Cricetulus griseus: one gene and its partner. The protein of the gene in region 1 binds, or shares a complex with, the protein of each later gene. Links are inferred from orthologs where the notes say so. Each region holds a gene or a part of one and is shown in the gene's direction. Other genes may lie near its edges.

Region 1 (3,595 bases):
TAGGATTTGTTTGTGGGAGTCATGGAGAGTGTGGAGGTGTTTTGAGGCTGAGTCACCTTGGGTGTCTGACAGGATGGATGATGGATGGATGGGGGCTCTTTGACACACAATGACCATTGTGCACATCAGCCTTGTTAGGATGATCTCTTGAGATCCGAAAGCAGGATTCTAAGCTGAGTTTCAGTGAGTTATGATTTTATTTATTTTGTGCTGTTCATATTTTTAAGCAGTTGCTTTATATTATGTGTCTTCTTGGCCTCAGACTGTTTCTGTGTTATGTTGCTATTCATCTCCATGGAGGGTGTGTGTGGGGACACACCGCATGTTGGGGGACCCACTTTGTACATTGGTCCATGCTCAGCTAGGCATTTTGGGATAAGTCCACACAGCACAGTGAGTCAGGGCTAGTCTCAGTGTGCCACTCATGTCCCTCTCACAGCGTGGGCTGCTGTGTTTGTTTCCCGTCAGCGCTGTTCCTGGGCGTCGGCAGAACACCATCGTGGTGAAGGTACCAGGTCAGGATGACAGCCACAATGAAGATGGGGAGAGCGGGTCAGAGGCCAGTGACTCCGTGTCTAACTGCGGCCAACCAGGAAGCCAGAACATTGGAAGCAACGTCACACTCATCACCCTGAACTCTGAAGGTGCGTTACCAGGGCTGCTCTGCTTGTCAGCACAGCCATAATTGTGCTTTTGTGCTGTTAGTTTGGAAGGGCATGTAGCTTATTGTTGATAAGAGGAGTGGATCAGAAGTGATGAAGAAAGTTAAAGCGACTGGGAAGCCCACTGTGGCTTCCAGCACCTGAGCCTCTCTCATGTTGTGTTGGTTTTATGTTTGCTTTCCCCTACCTACACAGAAATTGATTTCTTCCATGTCTGTTGGTGTTTCCAGAGTGATTTCAGTGTCACTTATGGAGGTGCCTTCTTAGATGGTCTGCTTCCTGAGGAGGAATAGCTTTTATGATCCTGCAGCAGTAGTCACTCACTGTCCTTGGCATTTCTCTGCAGGTTTCCAGAGGATATTGCCAGACTTAGGAAGTACAGTCTTCTTAAGGCTGGGCTGCCTTTTGTGATGGGGATCTGCAAGGGGCCAGGAGGAGCAAGTGCTGTGGTCTGTCTTTCCCAGACTCCTCCTCATGATTTCTTGGGGTCCCCATGTGGGGCCCATGACCATGGACTGAATCCTCTGCAAGCTTTCCGCCTTAGTCTGTTACAGTGACAGGCTGGTTTAGTGTATCCACATGTTTATACAATGTCACCACTATCTAAATCTCGAATTGTTTTTTATCACCCCCCCTCAAAGAAACCTCAAACCAGTTAGTAGTCCTCGCCCTCCCACCCAGTCCTTTTAGCTGCTGATCTTCTTGTGTTAATGGGGATTCCTGTGAGCACTGATTGTGACAGGGCCATAATTGTTCCTGTCCTCCCTCCATAGGGAGAGGGGCTGCATTCCCTGTGCTCTGGTCCTGTCCTTATGCACACAGGGGCTGTATTATTAGTGCTTCTGCCTTAATATGGCAGAGACTGTATTCCCCATTCCCTGACTCCCCACATATAACAAAGACTGCATGCTGCATACTCTGGCCCTCTCTTTGTATGACAGGGACTGCATGGCCCATGCTTCAGGCTTGCCCTTGTGTGACATCGTTAGTTGACAGGTATTTGGATCTTTTTTGCTTTTGGCTGTTGTACGCTGTGAACACTTGTGAAGTGTGAACACTTGTGTGTAAGTTTTGGCATCTATGTGGACTCAAGGCCAGAACAGCTGGCTGTTTTAACACTAACTGAGGAGAAAGTGCCAATCATTCTTTCTTCAAAGGAAGTTGCATAAGGACCATGCCTGTAATAGCAAAGGAGCCTGACTGATCTCTCTCCTTTCCTGTGGGAACCATGCAAGCTCGGGTGTTGGTCTGGTCAGCTGCTTAGGCCTGGTGTAGACCCCTAAGGAATATAATCTTTTTAATCCAGGAAGTCTAGATTATCATAAGAATAGAATTTTCCCTTTTGACTCTGACTTTGTGATGTGATCAGTGTGACATACATTTGGGAAAAATAGCAGATTTTGTTGAAATGAACTCAGGAAAAGGAATCATTTGTGGCACTTGCTTTGTTATTAGTGTCTTAAGGAGGAACAGAAACGTGTCTGAGTTCAGGGTCTCTGAGTGAGATGTAGTTAGTAGTTTGATGAGCAATGTCAGAGCCACACTAAAAGCTGCCTGTGTCATGATACAGTCATGACTCTGGTGGACAGCACCAGGAATCTTCATTCTCCGATGTTAGGACTCAGCATTCCCCCACTCACAGTTTTACTTTTGAAGAAGAGGTCATAGTTCAGAACCATTTGGCTTTCTTGTTCTTTGGGAAAGGTAGGTCACAGTGTCTTATCAGTAAATGATCCTGCCGAGTTGTATGCTGGCACAGTGGTTTTCTAAGGAGTGTCTGGAGATAGGCGGCATCATTATTAAGTGATTGTTGCACATGTAAGAGCTAGGAGGACTACCAAGCAGGAACATGTCTCACTTCAGACTCATTGCCCACTGGTCCTGACAGTACTGGCCTCTAACCTGTGGCACTCAGTCATGGTCTTGTCTCTTTGCTCAGCAGGGTGTGTTAGGCCATCTGGCTTATGTTATAGAAGATTATTGATATGGGGTGCTATGGATGATGATAAACTTAACAGGATTTGTCCCATTAAGAGCCAAGAATTGCAAGCTGACAGATGCTTCTTGTCTTCTTATGTGAGTGTCTGTGTGCCTGAGGTTTGGAGAACCAGACTTTGAAGTTATTATTTATTGCTTAAGAATTCCAAATGTTAAAGAAAAAAAAAAGTTGTGTGGTGGTGGTGCACGCCTTTGATCCCAGCACTTGGGAGGCAGAGGCAAGTGGATCTCTGTGAGTTTGAGGCCAACCTGGTCTACAGGGTGAGTTCCAGGACAGGCTCCAAAGCTACAGAGACCCTCCCCCCCCCAAAAAAAAAAAGTCAAAAAATCCAAAATTTTTTGTTTGTTGTTGTTGTAAAATTTGAAGTCAGTGGAACCATTTCCAGGTTTGTTTTGTTTTTAGGGTACTGGGGTTTAGACCTAGGGCCTATGTATGCTTAAGTACTCTACCACTGAGCTGTATCCCAACCCTCTTCTCATTCTTTATTTTGAGACAGTATCTCATCAGGTTGTCCAGGCTGGCCTTGAATTTGCTCTGCAGCCCAGGAATGATAGGCTTTGAAATTTTAGTCCTACTGCCTTAGCCTTTGAATGAAGTAGCTGGGATGATAGGCCTGTGCCATTTCATTGTATTTTAGCTTTTTACTTAGGTAATTTGTTAAGTAATGTAAACTTAGTTTAGATGAAATAGAAGGTGTCTCCTAATTGTTGGCCCATGTCTTCCTGTACCCCCTATTCTTGAGAATGTGAGGGCCATAGTCATTCAGAGGCTAAGTTGGCTATGTGACAGATACAAATTGGCTAAACGAATCAAAACAGGATCTGTTAATTAAGGGATTTAGTTGGGTTTCCATTCCCACAGTGTGGGCATTTGGTAATTCCTAGAGGATGGACTAATCCTCCATGTAAAATGCTGAACACTTAGTTACAATGCA
Region 2 (4,148 bases), on another chromosome or scaffold:
GTGCGTCAGTGCGTCCATCTCGCAGAGCATTTTGGGAATTGTAGTGCGATTGGGGGGAGCGCGGGGAAGCGGACTGTGTAACCCTTTGGAGACCAAAGCGCCTGCACAACTGGAGCCGACTCGGAAAGCGCTCAGCGCCCCCTCCTTCGACAGATGAGGCCCTGGCTCCGGAGCCTTCGGTCCTCTCCTCATCCTGTGGCATGCGGGCCTCCCTTGAGGCTCGCACCCCTGGGGGAGGACAAAGTGGCTTGGAGACACCCCTTTCCAACACGGTCGCCTGCTTCCCGGTCCCTTGAAAGCATCCAATCAGAACCTCTCCGCCCCATCTCAAAAAAGCTGCTGCCTCCCTCACCCGTCATTGGCCCTGCTTGGAGGGGCGGGATTCTCAGAGAGGGCAAGACTCTTCTCTGAAACTGCTCAGCAAATCAGAGCAGCAGCAGAAAATGCTCGCCGGGGTTCTGGGCCTGGAGTTCCAGCACTGCAGCCCCGCCGCTAGGGATGCTGATGCAGGAGGGCCGCAGCCAGTCTCAAGCCAGCCTAGCTTATCGACGCTGGCCTTCTCAGGCCAGCCTAAGCTAAAATCCAAAGTCTCAACATCAGAAGGCGGGAAAAAAAAAAAAATGAATGCCCAGCACTTGTCCTCCCCAAGCATTTATGAACCCACGATCCGTCCCCTGGACCCCCGTGTTGCGAACCCAGGCGAGCCACAAGAAAGGAAGCACGCAGGGGCCAGGCGCGCGCCCACTCTTCTTTTCTTTTCTTTTCTTTTCTTTCCCGCCACTGCTTTCTGCCCAAGTCCCCTTTAAGAAGCAGCCCCGACGGGACTACATTTCCCAGAAGGCTTTGCCCGCGCGTTATGTAACTTTCCCTGCGAAGCGGCCTCTGGGGCAGAAGAAGGAGGTGGAGGCGGCGGCGGCGGCCGTTGCAGCGGCGTCGGCGGCGGCGGGGCGAGCGGCGGGGCGAGCGGCGGGAGCCCGGGGCGGCGGCGCCCGAGGCCCATCGGGGGAGCTGGAGCTGTGCATCCTGACTCACGGTGCGGACCGGAGGAGGGCGCCGACGTGCGTGCTCGCGGCTTGCCTTTTCCACGGGAGGCGGGAGTGAGGAGGAGAGAAGAGGAAAAAAAAAGAGAGAGAGAGAGAGAGAGAGAGAGAGGAAAAAAAAAAAAAAGGCTCAGGGCCCAGGGGGCGTGGAAGGGGGGCCGGGCCTGAATCCGGCGGGGAGGCCGAGCGCAGCCGAGCCGAGGCCGGACCGAGCGAGCAGCGGCTCGCACGCCCGATCCCCGGGGCCCGGCGGAGCGAACGTGGGCGGCGGGTGCACCGCGGGGGGCCCCCGGCGGCTCTCCGGGGGTTCGGGGGGGGGATCGGTGGCGCGGCGGCGGTGCGGTGTGGTGGTGGTGGGGCGCCATGGCTTCGGTGCAAGCGTCCCGCCGCCAGTGGTGCTACCTCTGCGACCTGCCCAAGATGCCTTGGGCCATGGTGTGGGACTTCAGCGAGGCCGTGTGCCGCGGGTGCGTGAATTTCGAGGGCGCCGACCGCATCGAGCTGCTCATCGACGCCGCCCGCCAGCTCAAGCGCAGCCACGTGCTCCCCGAGGGCCGCTCGCCGGGACCCCCGGCCCTCAAGCACCCGACCTCCAAGGACCTGGCCTCGGCGGGCACCCAGGGCTCCCAGTTGCCGCCCCCGCAGGCCCAGGCGCAGCCATCGGGGACCGGAGGTAGCGTCTCGGGCCCGGAGCAGCGCTACGACCGGGCCACTTCGTCGAGCCGCTTGGCGCTGCCCTCGCCGGCCCTGGAGTACACCCTGGGGTCCCGCCTGGCCAACGGGCTGAGCCGCGGCGACGAGGCGGTGGCCGAAGGGGCTCGCCGGGCCCTGCTTGGCTCCATCCCCAGCCTGATGCCCCCCGGGCTGCTGGCAGCTGCGGTGTCTGGCCTCGGAGGGCGAGCCCTGACGCTGGCACCTGGCTTGAGCCCGGCCCGTCCACTCTTCGGCTCCGATTTCGAGAAGGAGAAGCAGCAGAGGAATGCGGACTGTTTGGCAGAACTGAACGAGGCCATGCGCGGCCGGGCGGAGGAGTGGCACGGGCGCCCCAAGGCTGTGAGGGAGCAGCTACTGGCGCTGTCTGCCTGCGCCCCTTTCAACGTCCGCTTCAAGAAGGACCACGGGCTGGTGGGAAGGGTGTTCGCCTTCGATGCCACCGCCCGCCCCCCCGGCTACGAGTTCGAGCTGAAGCTCTTCACCGAGTACCCCTGCGGCTCCGGCAACGTGTACGCGGGGGTCCTGGCGGTGGCCCGCCAGATGTTCCACGATGCCCTCCGGGAGCCGGGCAAGGCCCTGGCCTCGTCGGGCTTCAAGTACCTCGAATACGAACGCCGCCACGGCTCAGGGGAATGGCGCCAGCTGGGAGAGCTGCTCACCGACGGGGTCCGCAGCTTCCGAGAGCCCGCTCCTGCCGAGGCCCTGCCTCAGCAGTACCCAGAACCGACCCCGGCTGCTCTGTGTGGCCCGCCACCTCGAGCCCCCTCCAGGAACCTGGCGCCCACGCCACGCCGGCGCAAGGCGTCCCCCGAGCCCGAGGGCGAGTCAGCCGGGAAGATGACCACGGAGGAGCAGCAGCAGCGGCACTGGGTGGCACCGGGTGGCCCCTACTCCACGGACACGCCTGGTGTGCCCTCGCCCATCGCCGCCCTCAAGAATGTGGCCGAAGCCCTGGGCCACTCACCCAAGGACCCTGGTGGGGGTGGAGGCCCGGTGCGCACAGGGGGAGCCAGCCCAGCCGCCTCCTCCACGACCCAGCCACCAAGCCAGCATCGCCTGGTGTCGCGCAACGGAGAGGCAGAGGTCAGCCCCACGGCCGGGGCTGAAGCTGTCAGCGGGGGTGGTAGCGGCACAGGGGCGACCCCTGGAGCCCCCTTGTGCTGTACCCTGTGCAGAGAGAGGCTGGAAGACACCCACTTCGTGCAGTGTCCCTCGGTACCCGGACACAAGTTCTGCTTCCCCTGCTCTCGAGAGTTCATCAAAGCTCAGGGCCCAGCTGGAGAGGTGTACTGCCCCAGCGGAGACAAGTGTCCGCTGGTGGGTTCCTCCGTTCCCTGGGCCTTCATGCAGGGCGAGATCGCTACCATCCTTGCTGGAGACATCAAGGTCAAGAAAGAAAGGGACCCCTAGGCCGCCAATGCCATCGATAGGCTACTTACCCCGCCCCCCCTAGACCACCCACCGCAGTTCTTGCGGATAAATTATTCCCTACCCCGCCCAGCCCAGTACCGCCCTAACCTGTGTATATACCCTCTTCCCCTACCCGGATGGATCCCCTAGGGTAGATGCATTGTGGGTGGGGGGAGAGCTTGTGGCTCCTGTCAGAGCAGGCGTTTGGAGTTCCTGGGTCCCTCCGATTTCCTTCTCCTTTCTTGGCTTGGCTTTTTCTGCTGTTGGTAGTTGGGGAGAGAGATGCCCCGCTTGTCCTCGAGGGGAGGTCTCCTGAGAACTCGCTCTTTATAAACGAAGCAAAAGCATTTTATTGCTCCCCTCTCCCACCCTTTCCCTCCTTCAATAAACCGAAAGATGGTTTTTTTTTTTTTTTTTTTTTTTTTTTTTAAATCCTCTCCCCTCCTTCCCCTCCTTCCCCTCCCCTTCACGGTCCCTTTAGTTGTGTGAGATGCTGCGCCCCCTTCGGGACTGGACGTGTCCTGCGAGAAGGTGGACTTCTGCTATGTGACCACGGGGTGGCGCCCTTTGTCCAGCGGGCGGCTGTTTGTAGTGTACGTTTGCTGTGCTCATTAAAAGGTGTAGTCGAGGCTGGTGTTGCAGACGATGGAACTGAGGTTCTGATAGGGTTTGACTCCCGCGTGGGGAGCGCAGACAAGCCGGGGAGTAGGTATGCGCTGTAGCTGGCCGGTACTCTGAATGTGGGAACCATCGGAGGAGGGGACAGGAAGAGGGGCACTTCCTAGACCAATTTACGTGAAGGTGTATTTCTAGGGTAACTGCCCTGGGTAGAGTAAGTTTTACTTTCCCCGGGCAAACAGGGTAACTGGAAGCAGGGTGATGGTGCCTGAGAGGCGAACACACCCGAGAAACCTATCCTGGGTTCACGTCTTTCATCTGGGGACATGGCAGCCACCCTAGAACACCCAGGAGCTAAGTAAAAGG

The links.
Region 2: Banp (region 1) and interferon regulatory factor 2-binding protein 1 share a complex: the UniProt entries of both Homo sapiens proteins name them as parts of the corepressor complex. The link is inferred for Cricetulus griseus from reciprocal best matches to the Homo sapiens genes BANP and IRF2BP1.

Annotation. Positions count from the first base shown.
Region 1 is NC_048596.1:198,630,154-198,633,748, forward strand, and holds part of Banp (protein BANP), read left to right. Parts: intron 1-468; coding exon 469-644; intron 645-3,595. UniProt on the Homo sapiens protein: Controls V(D)J recombination during T-cell development by repressing T-cell receptor (TCR) beta enhancer function. Binds to scaffold/matrix attachment region beta (S/MARbeta), an ATC-rich DNA sequence located upstream of the TCR beta enhancer.
Region 2 is NC_048602.1:28,363,982-28,368,129, reverse strand, and holds interferon regulatory factor 2-binding protein 1, read left to right. Parts: upstream 1-1,366; 5' UTR 1,367-1,403; coding exon 1,404-3,164; 3' UTR 3,165-3,583; downstream 3,584-4,148. UniProt on the Homo sapiens protein: Acts as a transcriptional corepressor in a IRF2-dependent manner; this repression is not mediated by histone deacetylase activities. May act as an E3 ligase towards JDP2, enhancing its polyubiquitination. Represses ATF2-dependent transcriptional activation.